Lytechinus pictus: one gene and its partner. The protein of the gene in region 1 purifies or fractionates together with the protein of each later gene. This does not show direct contact. Links are inferred from orthologs where the notes say so. Each region holds a gene or a part of one and is shown on either strand. Other genes may lie near its edges.

What was found.
Region 2: the proteins of succinate--CoA ligase [GDP-forming] subunit beta, mitochondrial-like (region 1) and iron-sulfur cluster co-chaperone protein HscB-like purify together in Homo sapiens (affinity purification with mass spectrometry; 3 studies listed by BioGRID and IntAct, with this or other methods). This does not show direct contact. The link is inferred for Lytechinus pictus from reciprocal best matches to the Homo sapiens genes SUCLG2 and HSCB.

The regions. Positions count from the first base shown.
Region 1 is NC_087247.1:36,257,183-36,267,960, reverse strand, and holds the start of succinate--CoA ligase [GDP-forming] subunit beta, mitochondrial-like, read right to left. Parts: upstream 3,948-10,778; 5' UTR 3,886-3,947; coding exon 3,820-3,885; intron 1-3,819. UniProt on the Homo sapiens protein: GTP-specific succinyl-CoA synthetase functions in the citric acid cycle (TCA), coupling the hydrolysis of succinyl-CoA to the synthesis of GTP and thus represents the only step of substrate-level phosphorylation in the TCA.
Region 2 is NC_087246.1:19,727,762-19,737,823, reverse strand, and holds the start of iron-sulfur cluster co-chaperone protein HscB-like, read right to left. Parts: upstream 5,038-10,062; 5' UTR 5,027-5,037; coding exon 4,638-5,026; intron 3,544-4,637; coding exon 3,447-3,543; intron 2,722-3,446; coding exon 2,632-2,721; intron 2,001-2,631; coding exon 1,859-2,000; intron 1,502-1,858; coding exon 1,454-1,501; intron 1-1,453.

The DNA of each region.
Region 1 (10,778 bases):
GAGAAATGAGCAAGGGGCATTGTGGTGGGGGAGGGGGAGAGGGAGAGAGGGGGGGGGGGGGGTTACGAGGGCCGAGTGGGGATACAGTTTCATCATGCAGTACAGGGCGTCGATGAACACTTTTATTTTTTTCTCCAAAATATGGAAAGTGACAGAATAATCAGAAAAAGGTTGATTGGTTCTGATTTTGAAAAAAAAAACAGAATTTATCAAGATTGCTGTTATTCTTCATGGTTGTAGAATTTAATTTAGTTTCTCTGATAAGTATAATTCTTTCAAACAACTCAAATTTTGATTAATCGTATTTCATTTATTTCACTCTTTTCTTTCGCCTCGTTTTTTTTTCTTCCAAAAAACCAGGGAGCTGAAAAATATGAGAGCTAGAACCTAAAGATATGGGGTAGCTATGACGTTGGAGGGGGCGCAGCCTCATGCACTTGCAGATCCAAATCAATTTTCACAGGGGACACTTAGAGTAGCCCCTATTTCTTTAATATTATTTTTACAAGCAAAAAGAAGTCAATGAAGACATCAGGCCACCGACAGCTGCCTCGTCAAAGGGGGGGGGGGGTCGATTATTTTGAGTATTTTTTTTTTATTTTGTCCTCAATAAGGGGGGGGGGTTCAATTAATTCTATATACACTTCTATTGTCTTTATATATGGGGGGGTCTGCTACTGAGCATGTTTTTAAAAGGGCTTAATAAGGGGCTTAATACAACAGAAATTGTACGATTTAATACAATAAAATGTATCATCGAGGTTAATACTAAATTAATACATAATTAATAATTGTTTTAATTGAAAATGAAAATAATAAAGGCACCCATAGATCTTAACATCTCATAAATACAGGCCTAAACCTGTATTGGAAGTTGAACAGGCATAAAGTATAAATGTTTAGCTATATAGCTGATGCTTTGATCCCGCAACCAAATAATGTTATCATAAACTAGTAGATGTTATATCAGTCATGTCAGTGGCGTAACAAGTGAAAATAATTGAGGGTACTACGATATGGCGTATCAGGCAAAATTTATAAAATATATAGTTGCAAGCAAGCGACATAAGCATAATTTTGACTTTTGGTTACAAAAATCCAATTGAACAATTTCGCAAGATTCTCTTACCTTTTCCTTTTTTTTCTTGTTCGTGAATTGGGGGCATGCAAGACCCCACCCCCCCCCCCCCATACAGCACCACTCTTTGTTGTCACTGTCTAAAATTTGATTTAAACTTTGAGAATTTGAATTTCTTATCTAAGTAATCCAAAGGGATAAGACAAAAATATTTGCAGATTACTTATTTCAAAGTATTTTTATACCTATAACTCCCCAACTCTGCTCTAGCTGCACTGCACGTTGCCTAACGGCCTTCCACCAAAGGGCCAGGCCGACTCGCCCCGTGAGCAAGTGACCGCGTTCGCGTAAGTTCACCCGAAGCCATGACTGAATTCTGACCATAAACATCACCTAACTAATCACTCTCTGACAATATTTCAAAGTATCTTTTATTACAGTCGATCCTTTGGGCCATTAAACGATAATATTTCCAATGTTATCATGACAAACAATTTTAATGAGATAGTGGCATTGTAGAAAAAACAAATTTATAAGCACGAAATGGCACCAGATAAATCATCAAACATACAGCGCAGCGTTCGGGACTGGTGAGTGGTACGGCTCTCTTGGAGTTTTCGCCCCGACGAATTCGGCGAAAACGCTACCATTGCGCCGTGCGAATGTTCAATCTGCGGCTCTCAATCAGAGACTTGAATGTCTCTTTTTGCATTATCGAAAATGTATCATAGACTTTGTTTGATTTGTTTACAAGTAAGTTGCATATCCGTCGTGATAATTAGGAAAATCCATGATGTCTTCTTCTAATTCTGTAAAAATTACCTCTTCAAAGTGCCTGTGTCAGAAAATTGCCGGAAATCGTAAAAACTTGCCTAAAATGTCTCTTTTTGAAAGTTCATCCATGGTCTGGAAAAAAATGTTATAATTTATGTAGACGTATACCGTAAACAAATACATCCTCGATCACTGAAATGAAGTGTTTGCTAAGCTTTTATATCTCAGACCGCGTTACCATGGCAACTTGGGAAAACCTTCATTTTTTACTAATAAAATTCTGGTTTTAAGGGTCATTTTAGAGACATAAAACTAACCATATTTTGAAGTATTGGGTTTAAATTTCAGGAACAACTGCAGAATACCCCGCACGACGAGAGCATGGATGTTTGAATCGACCAACGACCTACGATGTGATGAAAGGATGTTGGAACAAAGCCGAGTTGTGACTAAAATTCGAACTTGTTTACGTCAAGCCAACGATTGATTACGCGATTTTTGCATAGGGCATGCCGCCAACGAGCCAACGATGCCAACGTTGTGAGATTGGCATGCTACCAACGAGCCAACGATGCCAACGTTTTGACTTGCGTTGGCTTGCTACCAACGAGCCAACGATGCCAACGATGTGAGTTTGGCATGCTGTCAACGAGCCAACGTTGTGAGTTTGGCATGCTGCCAACGAGCCAACGATGCCAACGTTGTGAGTTGCATTGGCTTGCTGCCAACAACGTTGGCAGCACGTTGTGAGTTTGGCATGCTACCAACGAGCCAACGATGCCAATGTTGTAAGATTGGCATGCTACCAACGAGCCAACGATGCCAACGTTGTGAGTTTGGCATGCTGCCAACGAGCCAACGATGCCAATGTTGTAAGATTGGCATGCTACCAACGAGCCAACGATGCCAACGTTGTGAGTTTGGCATGCTACCAACGAGCCAACGATGCCAACGTTGTGAGTTTGACATGCTACCAACGAGCCGACGATGCCAACGATGTGAGTTTGGCCTGCTGCCAACGAACCAACGATGCCAACGTTGTAAGTTTGGCATGCTGCCATCGAGCCAACGATGCCAACGATGTGAGTTTGGCATGCTACCAACGAGCCAACGATGCCAACGATGTGAGTTTGGCCTGCTGCCAACGAGCCAACGATGCCACGTTGTGACTTTGGCATGCTACCAACGAGCCAACGATGCCAACGTTGTGACTTTGGCATGCTACCAACGAGCCAACGATGCCAACGTTGTGAATTTGGCATGCTACTAACCCTAACCCTAACCCTAACCCTAACCCTAACCCTATGCACATAGTAGGAACATCGTAGGTCGTTGGCTCGCCAACGGTATGCGCGCGATCGCGAGAGTACAAGCATGCGCGCGTGTATTCGTATGGCTCGGAAGTACAGTACCGGTACGGGTCGTATCGTAAAAACTGACAAGACAACGAATCTTCAGCCCGTTCAGGATCGATCACGTCGAGATTGATTCTGATTCTTCACATCGTAGGTCGTTGGCTCGCCAACGTTGAGGTAATGAAATGTGCGGGGTATTCTGCAGTTAAGCCAATATTCACATAAAACTGAATTATCTATGTTTATACTTTCGTATATGAATATTCATATTTCTTGTAGAATCTTAGTTTTTGATTGGTCAATGTTTCAGTCATGGATAATAACTGAGCGTTAAAAAATCTGAAAATGCGCATTTTATCGGCAACCAACAAGCAAGATGGCGGAACACATTAAGTTGGCGCTATGCACGTACGTGGGCCCAGCGCATAAAGTAAAGAGTTAAGAAAGGCCTAGGCTACATAGTTCCCTAGGCATGGGACTGTAATAAAACAATTTTGGAGAACCAGCTAGATCTAACTTTACAATACATATAATTCATTATACTAACAATATATAACTAACTTTTTTTTTATAGATATCAGAAAAATATTTTGGTTAATAGAGTAAACTTACATTTCGCTGGAGGACTGTCTGAAAAGACTGGCGACAGCCTGATATTAACCTTGCAACATGGGCCATTACGAAGGGTGAAAAGGGTGGATCTAAATGGAAAAACCACGAACACAAATTAATTTTAAAATGATGGCGCTATTGCTATTGCTCGAGCTGTCTTTTTCACTGCACTTTCTTGAGCCGGGGCCTTGAGCTAGCTAGGAGGAGGTGTTTTTTTATAGTTTTTTTTAGGGGGTGGGGGTGGTAACTCTCGTATACGAAGCCAGGCTAGAGGACACAGGGACATGTCCCCCATGTTGATAGGCAGATAAAAACAACAATGAAAAAAATATAATAACCGGGTCGGATAAAAATAAAAAAGAGAAGAAGATAATAAGATATAAATATAATGATCCATAATTATGTTGACTGGCCACTATCCACAACTTAGATATTGATGTGTGTTCGAATTTAGGAGATACTTTCTGTCATGCGTGTTATATATATTTTTTTATTGACAAAAAAAAATACGATTGGTTTTGGTTTATTGCTTGCTTGCTTGCTTGATTGGTTTGATTGATTGATTGATTGATTGATTGATTTAATTTGCCAACGGCCATGGTCTGTGAAAAAAAATGATAATGGAAGTAAGCTGAGGAATAATTCACGATAGCTCTGAACTTTTTACAATCATCATAATCATTTTTGTGCTCCCTCTTTATCATCATAGGCATACTTTTTGTCAAATGATTCATCCTAAAATGATGATGTTCAACTAATGGGGGATGATAACATAGGACAACTCACCCGTGACATAAGTTGGGGGATATATCCCCCCCCCCGCGATCTACATCCATGCCCCGAAGCTTATTTCGAGAAGGGCCCTCGACATGTAAGAAAAAATCCATAACAAGGCACTCTGAAGGAATACAAAGTCAATAATACAGGCGTGAAGCGTATAGCTGACATTAAATTTATATATAGGATTGACCTGAAAACTGAACATTTATTGTTAAGCGCTTTTTGATATTGTGAATACAATGCATATGCCACCAAAATGAATAGGCCGACCTAAAGTGACTATTTATATCCTTGAACAGAGTACTTATCCCACTATAGACAAAAATTACCAACGCGAAGAGCGAGCTGTTTCTTTTAACCAACATTCAGACCTATGAACTGCACTATTTATAGGACAAGTCCACCCAAGAAAAATATTAATGTTGATTTGAATCAATAGAACAAAATCTAACAACCATAATGTTGAAAAGTTCATCAAAACCGGATGTGAAAAAAGTTATATGACATTTTAAAGTTTTGCTCATTTTTCACATAATAGTTATATGCACAACTTAGTGACGTGCAAATGAGAGATATGATGATGCCCCTCACTCACTGTTGTTTTTGTTTGAATTATACTATAATTCATTTTTTTGTGTACAAATTTGACAATAAGGCCAACTTGATTGAACCATAATGTTGCCCACGTTTCAGTACAATTCTTCACAAACCAGCTTCCTTTATTCATGGCTCAAACATGTCAAGTTGCCAAGAAACTGAAGAAAGGTTCCAAAACAATATAATTCCACATATTCTGGGGAAAATATGCTCACATTACCATGCTGGATAACATTAAAGAACATTTCATATTTCACAATAAAATAAGGAAATAGTGAGTGCTATAGGTGACGTCATCAATCCCCTCGTTTTGACAGACGAAATTACGCGAAACTTAAAAATTTCATAACTTTCTTATTTTACCTCCGATTTTGATGAAACTTTCAGTGTTAAGCTTGTTGGATTTTTCTCTATTTATTTAAATCAACTTTTTATTGGGGTTGACTTGTTGTTTTGTAATTGTAACACTTGAAATATTATAGTAGCGTGGTGATTGTTCAGTGTTACAAGAATGATGAGACAAATCAATAGTCTGCCACACAATGATTACCATGATTACAGTTCATTAGTATTTTATATTCCAAAGATGATAAATACCAATCATAAGATGTATATACCATAGGAAATATAGCTGGTTATAAAAAGGCTGTTATAATATTAGGTACTCCCCCAACAAAGGCCATATGGTAACCCCTAAAGAGGGATGGCGAGGGAGACCAAGCACGCATGCAGTGTCCTCTCGTCAAGAGACGGAGAAGAGAAGTCCTCTTTTAATTATTTTGGGGGTACATCTCTTAGTTTTGCACCATTAGGGGGGAGGAGTTAAACAATGTATAAACTAATCAGGAAAGAAGGATGGAGCATAACAAAAATGAAAGGGTATTTGCACCTGAAGTCAGGGAGCAATTATCTGGGAAGGAGGTTGGATGGAGGATAAAGTATATTCTCATTATGGTATCTTAGGAGGAATTATAAACACAATGCGGGACATAATGCAAGGATAAGGCCACCACATCAATCTGTGCAAACAGGTGATGGGTGTGTGGTCATTAATTTTGCTCTAAACAAAAGGAGTTGTGTCAATGGACAAAAGAGCATTGAACTTACTTTCGACCAATTTACTATCTGGAGTTTGTGAGTTTACACAAACGTCCAAGCATGTTTAAAAGTATAATCAGTTTTACAAAAATATGGAATGCAGGGTGTTATAATAATCATGAACATGATTTGTAACTGAATGAACCTTACTATAGCTCGATCGAAAATAATCACTGCTTCACCATGTTATCCTCATGAATGCGAATGCATTGGCAAGATTGCTATATATGCTAATTTGCTTCCTCTTCAGATTTTCTTCCTCTTCTTCAATTTCCTTTTTTTTTCTGTTCCCCCCTCCCCCCCCCCCCCCCGTCTCCCCTCGTTTTGTGCAGCCTGTAATAGCGGACCGCTATATATACAGCGTCTCCCTGATCAGCCGAGATGTCTTATAATTCCAATCCCTTAAAGGACAGGTCCATCCAAACAAAAAGTTGATTTGAATAAAAAGAGAAAATGCCAACAAACATAACACTGAAAATTTCATCAAAATCGGATGTAAAATAAGAAAGTTATGACATTTTAAAGTTTCGCTTAAATTCACAAAATAGTTATATGCACATCCCGGTTGGTATGCAAATGAGGAGACTGATGACATCATCCACTCACTATTTCTTTTGTATTTTATTATATGAAATATGAAATATTATAATTTTCTCTTCATTGTCAAGTGAAAAAAAAAACAATAATTCCTCCCTGAACAGGGACCTGGGAAGCGGGGGTGTATGGGGGTGCTGCGTGTATTATTTTCCATAGGCAGCACCCCCACGAAATCGGGTTCCCCCCTGTATTTTTTAAAATATGTTATAATGTACATAATTATCACTTCCGACAATCGCAAATCATTTACATAGTCTTTCACATATTCCAATAACATCCCTCCTATAACGCGACTCAATCAAGCTCCAGCGGGGCAGCACTCCAAAACAGACGGAGTCGCGCGCAATACGTGATAACCATACACACTCTTCGATATCAGGGAAGGACATGGGGGTGGTTGGACTCGAATCAAGTGAGCCCGCGCCCGACCGCCCGTGTATTGTATACAAAAATTAAAAGTCAGATAATATAAATCAAATTTCAGTCTTTTTCGCCCTGCCCCATGGCCCTGGGGGCTGGGAAGCGGGGGTGCTGGGGGTGAAGCAACTCCAAAATTTTAGGGTGCTGCGTGTGTTATTTTCCATAGACAGCGCACCTCCTGGAAATCTAGTGGTAGGTATGATAAATGACAGAAATGTAATGAAAATGAACGACGTTTTGTAGAACCCCCCCCCCCCCCCACTTCAGAATTTTCCGACACATTACTTGAAATAGTGTTTAAATTCACCCTCTTTCAGATCGGAATATCTAATATTTTCTGCTCGCGCTTCGCGCTCGCATTATTGATTTTTATAATAAAAAAAGTGTATTTAGAATGCCCAGATACTAGGTCGAACTCTAAACACGCGCAGGCATGTTTATTCAGATACGCAGCTTGATTGGGGGGGGGGGGTACTCCGGGCTGAAAATATTTATATCAAATACATTTTATCAAAAATGAATAAATTTTATCAAAATCTGATAACCATTAGTTAAATTATTTAATTCTAAAGTTTAGCAATATTTTATGAAAATGGTGATATGCATGTCGTCATAAATATTTCATAGGTGGGCTGATGCTGTGACATTCCCAATATCCTGTTTCTTGTGAAATCAAAATTGTTTCATTTTTTTCATACCAGAGTGAATGATATGTCTCCCTTATAATGAAATAAGTTGCAGCAAATAATATCTTATGGACTAAATCAGTTGTCAATTCAACTGTTTTAGTTCTTGAAAGAAAAATATTGAATAAACCTAATTTTATATAATAAAATACAAAAGAACAAGTGGGGATATGACATCACCAGTTTGCTCATTGAATATTAATGAAGACATGCCTAAAACTGTTTCACTGGAATAATGCTAATCTTTAAAATGCAATAACTGTGATATTCCTTGTCTGATTTTGATCAAATCTTTATTCTTATGTTCGTCTGAGTTTTCTTTATCTGTTCAAACCATTTTACATTCAGTGTGGAGTTTCAGATCAGAATATCAAAAAAATTTCTGCTCGCGCTTCGCGCTCACATTATTAATTTAAGAATATATCCAATTACCCATCATTTTCTAGATTTACAAAACATGAATAGAATGTCCCGTTTTCAGGTCTGAAATCTCAATTTTGTTTCCGCGCGCGCTTTGCGCTCGCATCAATTGTATAGTTATATACCTATCCTGTTCATGATTAGAAAAGTGCATTAGATGTCTCGTTTTTAGGTTTGAAATCTCATTTTTATTTCCGCTCGCGCTTCGCGCTCGCATCAATTGTATAGTTTTATAGCTATCCTCATTATGATTAGAAAAGTGCTTAGAATCTCTCGTTTTTCTGGTCTGAAATCTCAATTTTGTTTCCGCTCGCGCTTCGCGCTCGCATCAATTGTATAGTTATATACTTATCTTGTTCATATTTACAAAACGTGCTTAGAATGTCCAGTATTTAGGTCGGAATGTCAAATTTTAAGCTCGCGCTTCGCGCTCGCATTATTTGATTGTTGATATATGTATCATCTTCATGGGTAACTGCAAAACAGTCCTTATAACACGTCCCTTTCGATCAGGCCATGCAGAGCGTATATAAAAAATATCTGCTCGCGCTGATCGCGCTCACAATAATTATTTGTTACATACGCATCTTGGACCACAAACATTGCTCAAAATGTTCAATTTTCAGGACAAAATACATGAAATTTCCACAAAAAATAGCTCGCGCTTCGCGCTCAAATTATCTAATTATATATTTATGTTCTTTTATAAGAAGAAAGCTAAGAAGTGACTGTCATATGTATATTTATATATATATATATATGTGTGTGTGTGTGTGTGTGAGGGTGTGTGTGTGTGTGTAATTATGGAAAACTCAATTGTGTCTGTCCCCCCCTCACCTTTGAGGAGAGATTTCAGCACCCCCACTGAAAAAATCGTTCCCAGGTCCCTGTCCTTGAACATATGGAATTAGCATTGTTTAATACAATATGGTTCAGTCAAGTTGGTCCATATTGTCAAATTTGTAAAAAATGAAATATTGTATAATTCAAACAATAAAAAAACAAAAGAAATAGTGAGTGAGGGACATCATCGACTGTCTCATTTGCATGTCACTGAGTTGGGCATATCACTGTTTTTTGAAAAATAAGCGAAAATTTAAAATGTCATAACTTTCTTATTTTACATCCGATTTTGATGAAATTTTCAGCGTTATGCTAGTTTGATTTTTCTCTATTTATTCAAATCAACTGTGATTGATTGGTGGAATTTTTTTTTACCTGATTGCTAAGAAAGCATGAATGCTTGTAAGCAAGCAACCAGAGGACCGACGGCTTAAGGTCCCCTCCGAAGGACCTGGTACTGAGGATTAATGCCTTACCAAAGGGCACTAGCGCACCAAGTGGGAATCGAACCCGGGTCACCGGAATACGAGTCCCCCGCTCTACCGACTGAGCTATCGCGCCTTTTCCTGTGGTGGACTTGACCTTTAAGATCATTTTCTTTTTATTTAAGCGTTGGAGGAGGCAAGGGCTCAAGTTAAAGCTCCCAGAATTCTAATTTTGCAAGAAAAAAATAGCACTGTTATTTCTTCTCTGCCACGCTTTTTCCTTAATTTGCATTTATTGATTTTCTTCCTCTCATTCCTTTCTTTCTCTCTTTATTCCCCGCTTTATTCCCGTTCTCTTTAAAAAAAATAACATTCTCCATTTTATTTGTTTTCCCCTCCATTCCTTTATACTAAATGGCCGAGGGGAGCTCGGATGAGAGGACCGCCCCAGCATCTAATACGCCATGGAAAAGTTTCGGCCAATCAGACCACAAGTTGGGAAACGCAACACCCCGACCCATGCACCCTCATGGACCAAAATATTCTGATGTCACCCCTGATAACAAATAATGTTTCACGCAGATTGCTGTTACGTTATTTAGCATTTTGATTTTTAAACAGTTTTGTCAAACCCTCCAATTTGTCCTCTTATTGACATTCATGTCATTATTCCGCATCATGGCAAAGCATCCGCATAGACCATGTTGGAGGAAAATTGATTGAGCTCAAATGAAATACGAACTCATCAAGAGAGACAATGTTTTATGCCTCTTGGCTTCTTTTAAATTTCACTGATAAAAATTACGCAATTCTAGTGTTTTGTTGATTCAGAAATGAAATTTACTGGAAAGGAAGGACCATGTTCTTTTCTCTACATTGCCAGTTATTTTGTACAATGATTAAACATTATTTTTTGATCGATATGTCTTTCTTCTATTTCTTTTTATTATTTTTTCTCTTCTTCCCTTTTTCTTCTTCTTCTTCCTCCTTTCTCATCATCCATCCATCCATCCATCAATATATGAATAAATAAATATATAAATAAATAAATAAATCAATCAATCAATCAATCAATCAATCAATCAATCAATCA
Region 2 (10,062 bases), on another chromosome or scaffold:
TTAAAGTATAAAACAGAAAGAATGGATGGAAGAAGGGATGAAAGGAAGGGGGAAATGAATAAGAATGAAGGAAATAAAAAGTAAGATGAAAGTGAAAAAGAGTCTAAGCAAAAAAGAAAAAAATTAAATGAATAACAGGCAAAGAAAGAAAGGAAAAAGGAAAGAAAGGAGGGAAGGAAATCCAAGTAAAGCAAGAAAATGAAAGAAAGAAAAAGAAACAAAAAAATAAAAGAAAGGAGAGAAAAGGGGAAAAATAAAGGAAGGATGGAAGGAGGAAAGGGGGGAAAAGAAATAATAGAAAGAAGAATTACGGGATGGGAAAGTATGGATGAAAGGAAGGAGAAACAGACAAGGAAGAAAATTGAACGAATGGGAAAAGAAGATGAAAAGAGGGAAAGGAAAATGGAAAGAGTAAAAGTGAAAGGATGGAAGAAATTAGGAAAGAAATAATTAGAGCGATCCAACCGAGGAAAGGAAGATTAATGACCTAATGAAAGGATGAAGAAAGAAAGAAAAAAAGAAAGAAAGGATTGATGGAAGCATTGATTGAAAGAAAGATGGAAGGAAAGAAAGAAAAGAAAAAAAAAACATGTTTCATTTTGGCTCAAACTGATACCTAGATCGAGTTTCGTAAGAAACCAACTTAATCAGCTCCACATGTGTTTTAGTGTGTGTTGATGCGGACGATGTCACCCGAAACCCGATCGTTTGGGGCCAAGAAAGGAGTAATAATTTCTTTTTTGATTACTTACAAATGAAAGAGTTGCACCATTTTTTAGGAAACATGGGCATAATAAGAGATTTCATTGGTGTAAAATGTGAAATTTTACAGTCCTTTGGGCAAAGTTACAGAACCAAACTTTGTAGCTGGGGTGTGCAGCACAGTGCATGTATACGGCGGGGTCAACTGGGCATTTTCGCCGTAGTGTAACGGCTCCCATTTGTGATTTTTTTCTGGCGCCCGGGCATACTAGTTTTCGAAGGAGCCAGGCGCAAAACCCTTTGAACCGGGAGCAAAATTGCGCCTGGCGCCCGGTTAATAAAAAGCTTGTTTATAACCATTATATTTAAGTTCATATATTCATAATAATCTTGAAAATAAGTATTCATTCTTAACCTTGGGTAGCCCTGATATTTACCTTAATCATGTGACCTGAAACTCCTGCCAAATGATCAGTGATACCTGATTATATGTCCAAGTTCCATGAAATAGGCCCTTAAAATTTTTAAATTATGATGAAATTTCAAATTTTTTTACTTCGGTTAAGATGCTGACACCATCATCGTCGGATGTATTATGGAAGCATAGTATACCCATTTCTGCTTGTCTAAAGTCCACTTATGGGTGATATAGAATATTCCATGAAAAGAATGAATTAATGAAATCATGATCAAATGAAACAATATCAATATAACGAAATCTTTTCATATGCATTACATTTATTAATCTCACCTTCATCAAAAGCCACTCTGAGTTTATCCAGATGGTCGTTCAAACTCACTGAAAAAGAAGAGGCAAATATAAGTATGTACGTGAAAAGTGATTCCTGAATTGGAAATCATACTTTTATACAACTTGTCTGGGTATGTTGGCACCAATTCCTCCAATCAGATGGACGATTGCTAATAAAAGTTGGTGCTAAAATAAAACAATTCTCACATTAATACATTGACAAGCAAACTTTGCTGTGCCTTTGTGCATTGCTCATTTTAGTGCAGTCTAAATTTCACCTTTTTAAAACACTTTAACATGCACTAAATAACCATTATACACACTCATTTCAAGCAGAACGAAATCAACCAAATATTTACAAAGTGCTCTTTTCTACAGAGTCCCACTCCTTATGATTAAACTTACCTGTATTTTCTTTTCCTATTCGTTTGACAGTTTCAAGATCATCAGTATCGGCTAGCTCTTCATTGATTTCCATCACCTCCATGAGGAATAACGGTTCTATATTACTCTCTCCTTCTTCTATTGAAAACCCTCTGAGCTCAAGCTGTGTATCAAAGAAACATAATAAACTGGATTTATCTAGCACCTTTTCCAAAGGACACAAACTGCTGCTTACAATGTTAAGTGACTTAAGATTTATCATATATGACTGTTTCAAAACATTTTCAATAGATCAAGGTAATGTTGCATCAAATTGGAACTTATTCCAAAGACATGGGGCAAGTGATTAAAAAGAATTGAAGCCAACTTGTTCTCTGAATTTGAGCATGACTGACATATCAATGAGCAGGTATAGAACAAGCATGTTGCTCTCTGTGTTGCTGAAAGAGTGGAGAGCCAAACCTGTTCAAAACCTTTTCACTCTTGTGCGTTAAAATGATTATGCAATTAAACAAGGAAATTATAAATATTAAATGAACTCCAGTAAATGTTTACAAGGCTATTAATCTTAAGAAATATTGAATAAATATGAAACCTAGCATTTCAAAGAAGAGCGGACCTAGGCTTATCATGGACTTAACCCGGATTAGCTTATAAATACCACCCAAAGACTTTATCATGAACGTTTGACCAACATGTTCATTTTCTATCAGTAAAACAAACACAACTTCATGATATTGCAATTAACACCCTTTGTATCATAGAAAAAGAAAACACTTAATTTAGTTAATTACCAAGTAGAGGCCTCTAGAAAGTGGTTTGAGAAGCACCTTGTAAGCTCGATTCACAGCCGATGACTGGGCAGCGGAGTAGTTCTGTTCTGTCTGTGTGAGAATAAATGAAAGGATAAGTTCTTGACCCTGCTTCTCCAAAGTCTCTGCAAATTGAATTACAGTTTTAAGGAGTCTCAACACGGTAAGTTCTTGGAAAAGTGAACATGAAATTGTTTGTGTATTTGAAGGAGATTCTACACAAATCATTAATTATGTGTAGTAAGAAATAATATTACCTGAACAGTTATTATGCACTCTATCTATGCATGATTTGAAATAATTTTGGGCACAGATTGCTGGAATGTATTCAGTGTGCATGCACTTTCTACAAAGTGCTGGGTCCTGTCAAATTTAAGTTACTACTGTCATGGCATCTTTACCATCCGCTGTCAACTTCCATTGAAACAATACCCAATCAGTATCCAGATGCAATGGGATATTCCATGGCAAAGAGACCATTTTGCCCAAGTCTGATGATGACATATAATCCTGAACTCAACCGACTTTGCCCTGACAACCAAAATAATGCATCTCACAATCCCATTTGAATGTATTTGAAATCACCACCTTTACATGAATTTAACATCAGAGCACTTAACTTCAAGTGACTTTCATTTTTTCAGTGAGCAAGGTGCATTGCTATATTATTGTATAGGCCTACATAAATTCACTTTTGCTCTTGGAGCCCCCCCCCCCCCCCATATAAAAATTACCACAAAAACAATACCCAAATACAATGGTTTTATAGAGAACACTGAATGGCTTTTCTTTTTTACCTCTGATTTATTGCTGAATTTGTCTGGGTGAAGCAACCTCTGAAGGTTTCTAAAGCAGTTGGTCAGGTCTTGAACTTCAACATCAAACTTCTCCTCCCTAAACAAGTACCAAATGAATTCAGTGCAACAATTAACATTCATTCAAAATTTCAAACTTAAAAAAAAAAAACAATTTTACATATAACGAGAAGAAAACTTAAAGGATTCTTCTTCCTGTAGACTTTCCTCTTTGGGATAAAGTGTGAAGCTCTCTAAATCCAGACTAACGGGGAAGCAAAAAAAGAAAGGCACTCACTCAGTATATAATGCGTGGCGGGTACGTGCCACAGAGAGGACCCCCATTTTTACATTGAGGAAAGGAACAAAGAAAGCCGCTCCAAAGCATATCACTTTCTTCTTATCGAGAAAAAAGAAGAAATTCGTTCCAAAGCTTTGCATATTTTTCGTTATGCTGTTCGGCCACATTGATCTGCGACAATGAGTTGCAATTTTGGTGAAAAGCAGCCGCACAGAGCTGTCCGACCATCGCCTCTGCGCAAGCGCACCTGGCGCCCATATCCCATGCCAGCGGGTTAGCTGCATGCACTTATGCCCGTATAGGGCGATGTTCGTGCAGGCACCACTCCACTTCACTACCTGACTACCGCTACACTACACTCCACCTGCCCGAACATCGATACCGTGAACTCTATCTGATATTCCGAGTGACAAAGGTGGGATTTTATGGGGGGAAATATAAAATTCATGCAACATCACGATCTTTAAAAACAATTAAAACTAATATTCTTACTATACACAAAGTTTCACTTCTTTGGCTTTGCCATGCTTCTATCAGTCTCAAAATTCGTGATTTAGAGCCAACATGAATTGAAGGTCCTCACACGTATAATTATTTGCTGCCGATTTCAAAACATCGCATGCGAGGCTCCAAAGCCCGTTTTTTGTCTCGCTGTGGCACATACCTACCAATTTTTTGGTCGAGCACCCCCCCCCCCCCCTCCGGGGCATCTCCTGTGCCATTTGTGGCATTAATATTTCGATCCCAGTTCAAGCCTTCTTCATCTCAAATAATCATGATAATATGCCCGATATCTGAATATCAATCTCTTCCCATCAATTTAGCACCTGATCATTCTCTTATTTAAACTGAACATCTTATTAAAATGTTTTCTGAAGCAAAAGAAGCATTACATTCCCATGATCTGAAAGTGGTTCAATCCGTCCTCCAGCGGCTGGATCATACTGCACGAGGCACAGAACAGAGCAGCGACGCGAGGTCCTCCACTGGACGTCTCAGACCGGGAGAGTTCGTCGTTGCAGTTCCAACAGCGTTTCGCAGAAGAGCAATACAAACGCTCTGTGACGATGATCATCCTGCTTCGTTGTCCATCATACGATTTTTTAGTGCATGACCAATTCGACAAGACTGATTTCATGTTTTGTCTCCTAGAGTATGTGCATGGTGAGCTGGAGATGAAGTTTCTTGAAGATATTCCTCTCTTTAATCTCATAATACTATTTGCACGTGACAGAGCCAGACGACAAGAGTTTATCCATGAAGCTGCCATGTTACTGACCATGCATAGCCATACATATGTGCGCATACAACAGAGCTATATATATAGCTAGCTAGCTCTGAATCGCGATCCGGTACCGTATATCCAGGGTCGACGTCGCAAGGGGGGGGGGGGGGGGGGGGGAGGACGAGAGACCCCTCGCCCCCTGGCCACTCAAGTTATTTTTTGAGAGTGGTGAAGCTCCTGTTTTTTACTTAATAATGCTATATCGGCCCAGAAAGAAAATAGTGGCAAACATCTTTGGATGAAAAATTCCTACTTTGCAAATAATTCATATTCCTCTTTATTTGGATATGAGATAAGTTTCAAAGCCCTATATAGTGGTTTGAATTCTGATCCGGTTCTGATCACCATCATCCATCCTTTTTCTGATCATCCATATAGGTCTATATGCTATTATAGTTCTAGATCACCTCTTGTTTAACCCTCGGGGGCACTCAAAAGGTGCAGGGCCGATGTTGTCTCTAAATCTGAAATCATACCCTTAAAGGAGTATAGGCATGATAGGTCTAGCTCCGGGATGAAAATAATATGATTTGGAGAGATCACTAAAAGTGTCATTAAAATGTGAGCTGCACGATCTCCACTCGATAACGCGTATAGCTGCTAATTCCACACGTGAAAAAGATTTACACACGTATTTCCATATTAAATTATACTTTTTTTTCTTTAAAAAAAGATCGCATTATTGTCCACCACTGAGATCATTTATAATAAGACTCCTCGTGCAATTAAATATTTGACTATTTCTTTTCATTCTTTTCATTTCGTTTATTAATTTCATTTTCATATTTCTCCTTTACATCTGATTCACATAAAAAGTAGCAACAATAATGCAAAACTATTAAATTATAAACAACTGAGAAGACATACAATAGCATAGTATAATGATGCAATCAGTCCAGTTAAGGTATATAGAAGCTTAGGCCCGTAAGTCAAAGAAATATGATCGGACATACATGAAAGCAAGGCTTGTAAAAAATTGCAGGCCCCGGTGAGATAAGTTGTAATTAATAGTGGAAGACGGATAATTATTTCATGACCTTAAATATGCAGATTGGAATTTTCAATTAAATACAGAACAAATGAAAGAAAAATATTTAAAGATATGAAATTGAAGTGGTCAAGGCATTACAAATTATCAACATACGGTGAATAGATATATCTTTCCATGACATGGCAAGTACGTACACCCGTATATAGGCCCTACATGTATGTACATAAATTAGTAAAATCATATCTGATATAATTATTACTGTCACATCACAATGTGCATATTGCTCAGCTGGTATACAGCAAGAGAAATACAGTTGTAACCAGAGAAAGAGCCCAAAAAAGACAAAACAAATACAAAACAAAAGACAACAGAAAAAAATACGAGGTATATGACTTACTAATCATGGAGATCAAGACAATGAAGAAAAAGCAGGTTCAAGAAATAATAAGTTGTTTTTAAAATAAATGTGCATCCTGTTATATCTGGCGGAAGAGTACGGTATGTATTTTGGTCTTGTGAATATTATTGTGTTTTTGTGTAAAAATTGTTCGAGTTAGAGTAAGATGGTATACTCTGACGCGTAGGATATGTGTGATATGATTGATTTTTTTTAACATTTGTGAAAAATTTTCTGGTAATTCGTCTTTAGATAAATGATACATGAATATACCAATGTTATATATATATAAAAGTCAATGACCTTTAGTATTTTGTTTTCATGAAAAAGTGATTTGTGTGACACAAGTACCCCGCGTGGTTTGCTTCTATGAAAAAATACACCATTCATTCTCCATGAACTATCAAAATTGAAATGAATAAAAAATATCTAATGCAAAGCCTATCCTTACAAAAGGAACTCGAAAGTAAAGTAAAATTTATAACTGAAAATTTTCGTGTTTGAAAAATAAAAAATTGACGTCTTCCCATGATAGCACCAATTCATGATGTATACTGCTTCATAATAGTATTTGTTTAAGAAATCTCGGGAAACTTGTGTAGAATAGGGCCCACTGCTTCGTATTGAATAGTATCTGTTAAAGAAATCTATGGAATTTTTGGAGATAAAATAATTTTCTAAAGTAAATATAATGTTCTAAAGTGATCAGAATCAGATGATTCATGTGAATGAATATTTTACTTCAACAATATCTTTTTGATTCTACGCACTTCATGTCGTTCATTATTTTAAATGCTCTCCAACTATTTCCTCATCGATAACAATGTCATGTCTGTTAATCAGTGATTTTGATTGAATTGATTTAGAACAATAATAGATCATTAATTGATCTCTTAATTCATTTAGTAGGCCTACTATACCATTTACACAATCTTTCGTACATATTTATGATGGCCGAACCCAGCGCGCAGGGGGCGGTGATGGGGGTGGACAATTAAGTGTTACACTTTTACTGAAAATTTTCACAAAATTTGTCAAAGTGTGCTCGCAAACCTTAGGTATTATAAAAAAAAATGACAAGCGCCTCCATGACAAGACTTCACTCCCTCGCTTTCGAGTTTTTTTTTAAATATGCGTCATGCCCCCCCCCCCCACTAAAAAACTTGGTGTACGGTCATGAAGGTCTATCCCTTAACTGTACTTGTTATTCATTTCTTCAATCATTATTGACTGAAAACAATACTCATTTCATTCATCTATAATCATTCATTCATTCATTTATTTACTTTAATGAAACCATGCATAAAGTGTAATTGATAAATATTATAGGGTAGCCTACTCATGTACTAGTGTATGTGTCTCCAACCAATCCTTGATGAATTTACATTAGAACTTTGTGACTGAGACTGTTGACTTGTTATGTGCATTGGCAACGCCTGTGTATTTTGATATGGGGAACAAGGTTGACATAAATGTAACTTTATTTCTTTTTCGGATTAAAATTTATGGATTTTTTTGTTATATATAATTATGTCTACTTTATGCTGCAGAAAAGTTTCGTGTCTCTTGTTTTGTTCGGCAAACTTTTAGTTATAAATAACACATTCATTGGGCAATTTTGACCATAGATGAATAATTTTAGTTGGTCACAGTTTCGACCAAAAGTTTGAGCGTTAAGCCCAAAAAACTTGTCTAATCCCTATTGGTTAAGGTTTTTTTTTTGTCCGACTGTTAAATGATTATGTTCAACATATAAGTTGGTCACATATTTTCTCTTCTGTTATTTATTTTAATTCCTTTTTTTAATCGGGGGGGGGGGGGGGTTGAACGCCTGCCCCTATATGGTACCGTCAGTGGCGTACCTAGGATTTTCCACAGGGGGGGGGGCAAATTCGTCCGCCAAAAAATTTGACAAGCAAAAAAAAAAAGGTCTTCAACCACAAATAAAGGGATTTCGTACCAGCAAAAAAATTGACAAGCAAAAAAAAAAAAAAAAAAAAGGGTCTTCGAGTTCAAAGGAGCGGGCCAGGGATCAGTTTTGACTCGTCAGGGGGGGGGGGGCAGGGATACGTCCCTTGCATGGGTTTTGACTCGTCAGGGGGGCAGTCTGCCCCCTCTGCCCCCCCCCCCGTAGGTACGCTAGTGGGTACCGTCCCGTCCCTGGTATAGTGGTATAGGCTATACAGTTTGCGTGTCTTCTCCCGGACGATATTCAACTTGTCGGATGTGACTAAATCTATTCCTTCCGGTTTGGTTGGTCAGTAAAGTTACAAGTGCACTGATATTTCCAAAGAAAAAGAAGACGTGATTAATTTTAGAAACAAACGAGTCATTAATTTGTTCCCTTAATTAATTGCAACGTAAGACTACGTGACCGATCCTAGTACGGTTGAGTAAACACGATTAGGATGTGACAATGATTCAGATACAAAAACGATGATAATTATGTTCAAGTTAGATATTTCTATTTGTTTATAATTAGTACCTTCATCAAGTTCAAATACCGATTACGTGAACCCAGGGGCGGATCCAGGATTTTTCAAGGGGGGGGGGCAAATTTTTCGGAGGAAAATTTTGAGAATATTTAGCACCCGAAAAAAAAATTTACAAGCAAAAAAAGGTCTTCAATTTCAAAAGAGGGGGCACACCTCTGTTTTAATGGCATTTTTACATTTTAATTCTTAATTGCCCCCCCCTGGATCCGCCAGTGCGTGTATTATCACCTTATGTATTTAGGAAGGCCATCTTGTATATATTTCCCTCAAAAGGTTCCTTTAAAAGTATTAAGGCATCCAACGATTTATATGGGGATTGGACCTGTAAATGCAAATTATAATATTTGAGTATACCCGAAAATGATCTTAGGAAAATATTGAGCAGTAGCCCCCAATCACAAATCACTATGTCAGTGCTCAAATGTAGAGCCCAGTACATAGTACCATTCATTAATTGCGACCTAATTTCAAATAAATTGTAAAAGCATTTTAAATGAAAATTCCACCTATTAAAACGATCAAATCCAAAATATTGGGATGAATAATTGAATCGAAAATCAAGCCTATATTTCGAGCCTCTGTGTAGAATTAAAGTTCAATTGCAAGTCGTATTAACTTGACGTCATCATCGGATGCGAGTTGAAGCTGAACTAGACTTTACTCCGACCACAATGTTTGCAACCAAGTAGAATTCCGATTTAATCATTCCTTTGATTGCACCTAATTGCGAAATATAATATAGTTTTTCTTCATGAAATTTCATATTAATGCGAAAATGCGACTTGTAAATAAAAAAAGAGTCGTTTTGGATCGTGTAGTGTGTACCGGGCGTATGGGACTATATAGGCGATTTCGTTACCTTGACAAAACTTTTAGAAATCTAAGCGCCTTAAAGATCATTAAAAAAAAAAACCTGGTTGATATGATCAGAATGGAAATAAAAAAGTGATTTTTGTAATTTTTCAAAAATGATGTTTTCTAAATAATGAATTGAGATAAAGTCATAAAAGAGAGAAGTAAGAATAAAGAGAAAGTGATTTAATTACTGTAAATGAAAGAAGAATAGGTCTACGACAAGTTTACGCCAACCAAATTAGTGTTTACAATCATCTATATCTGGATTGTCTTTAAAAACGGGGAATGTCCTTTT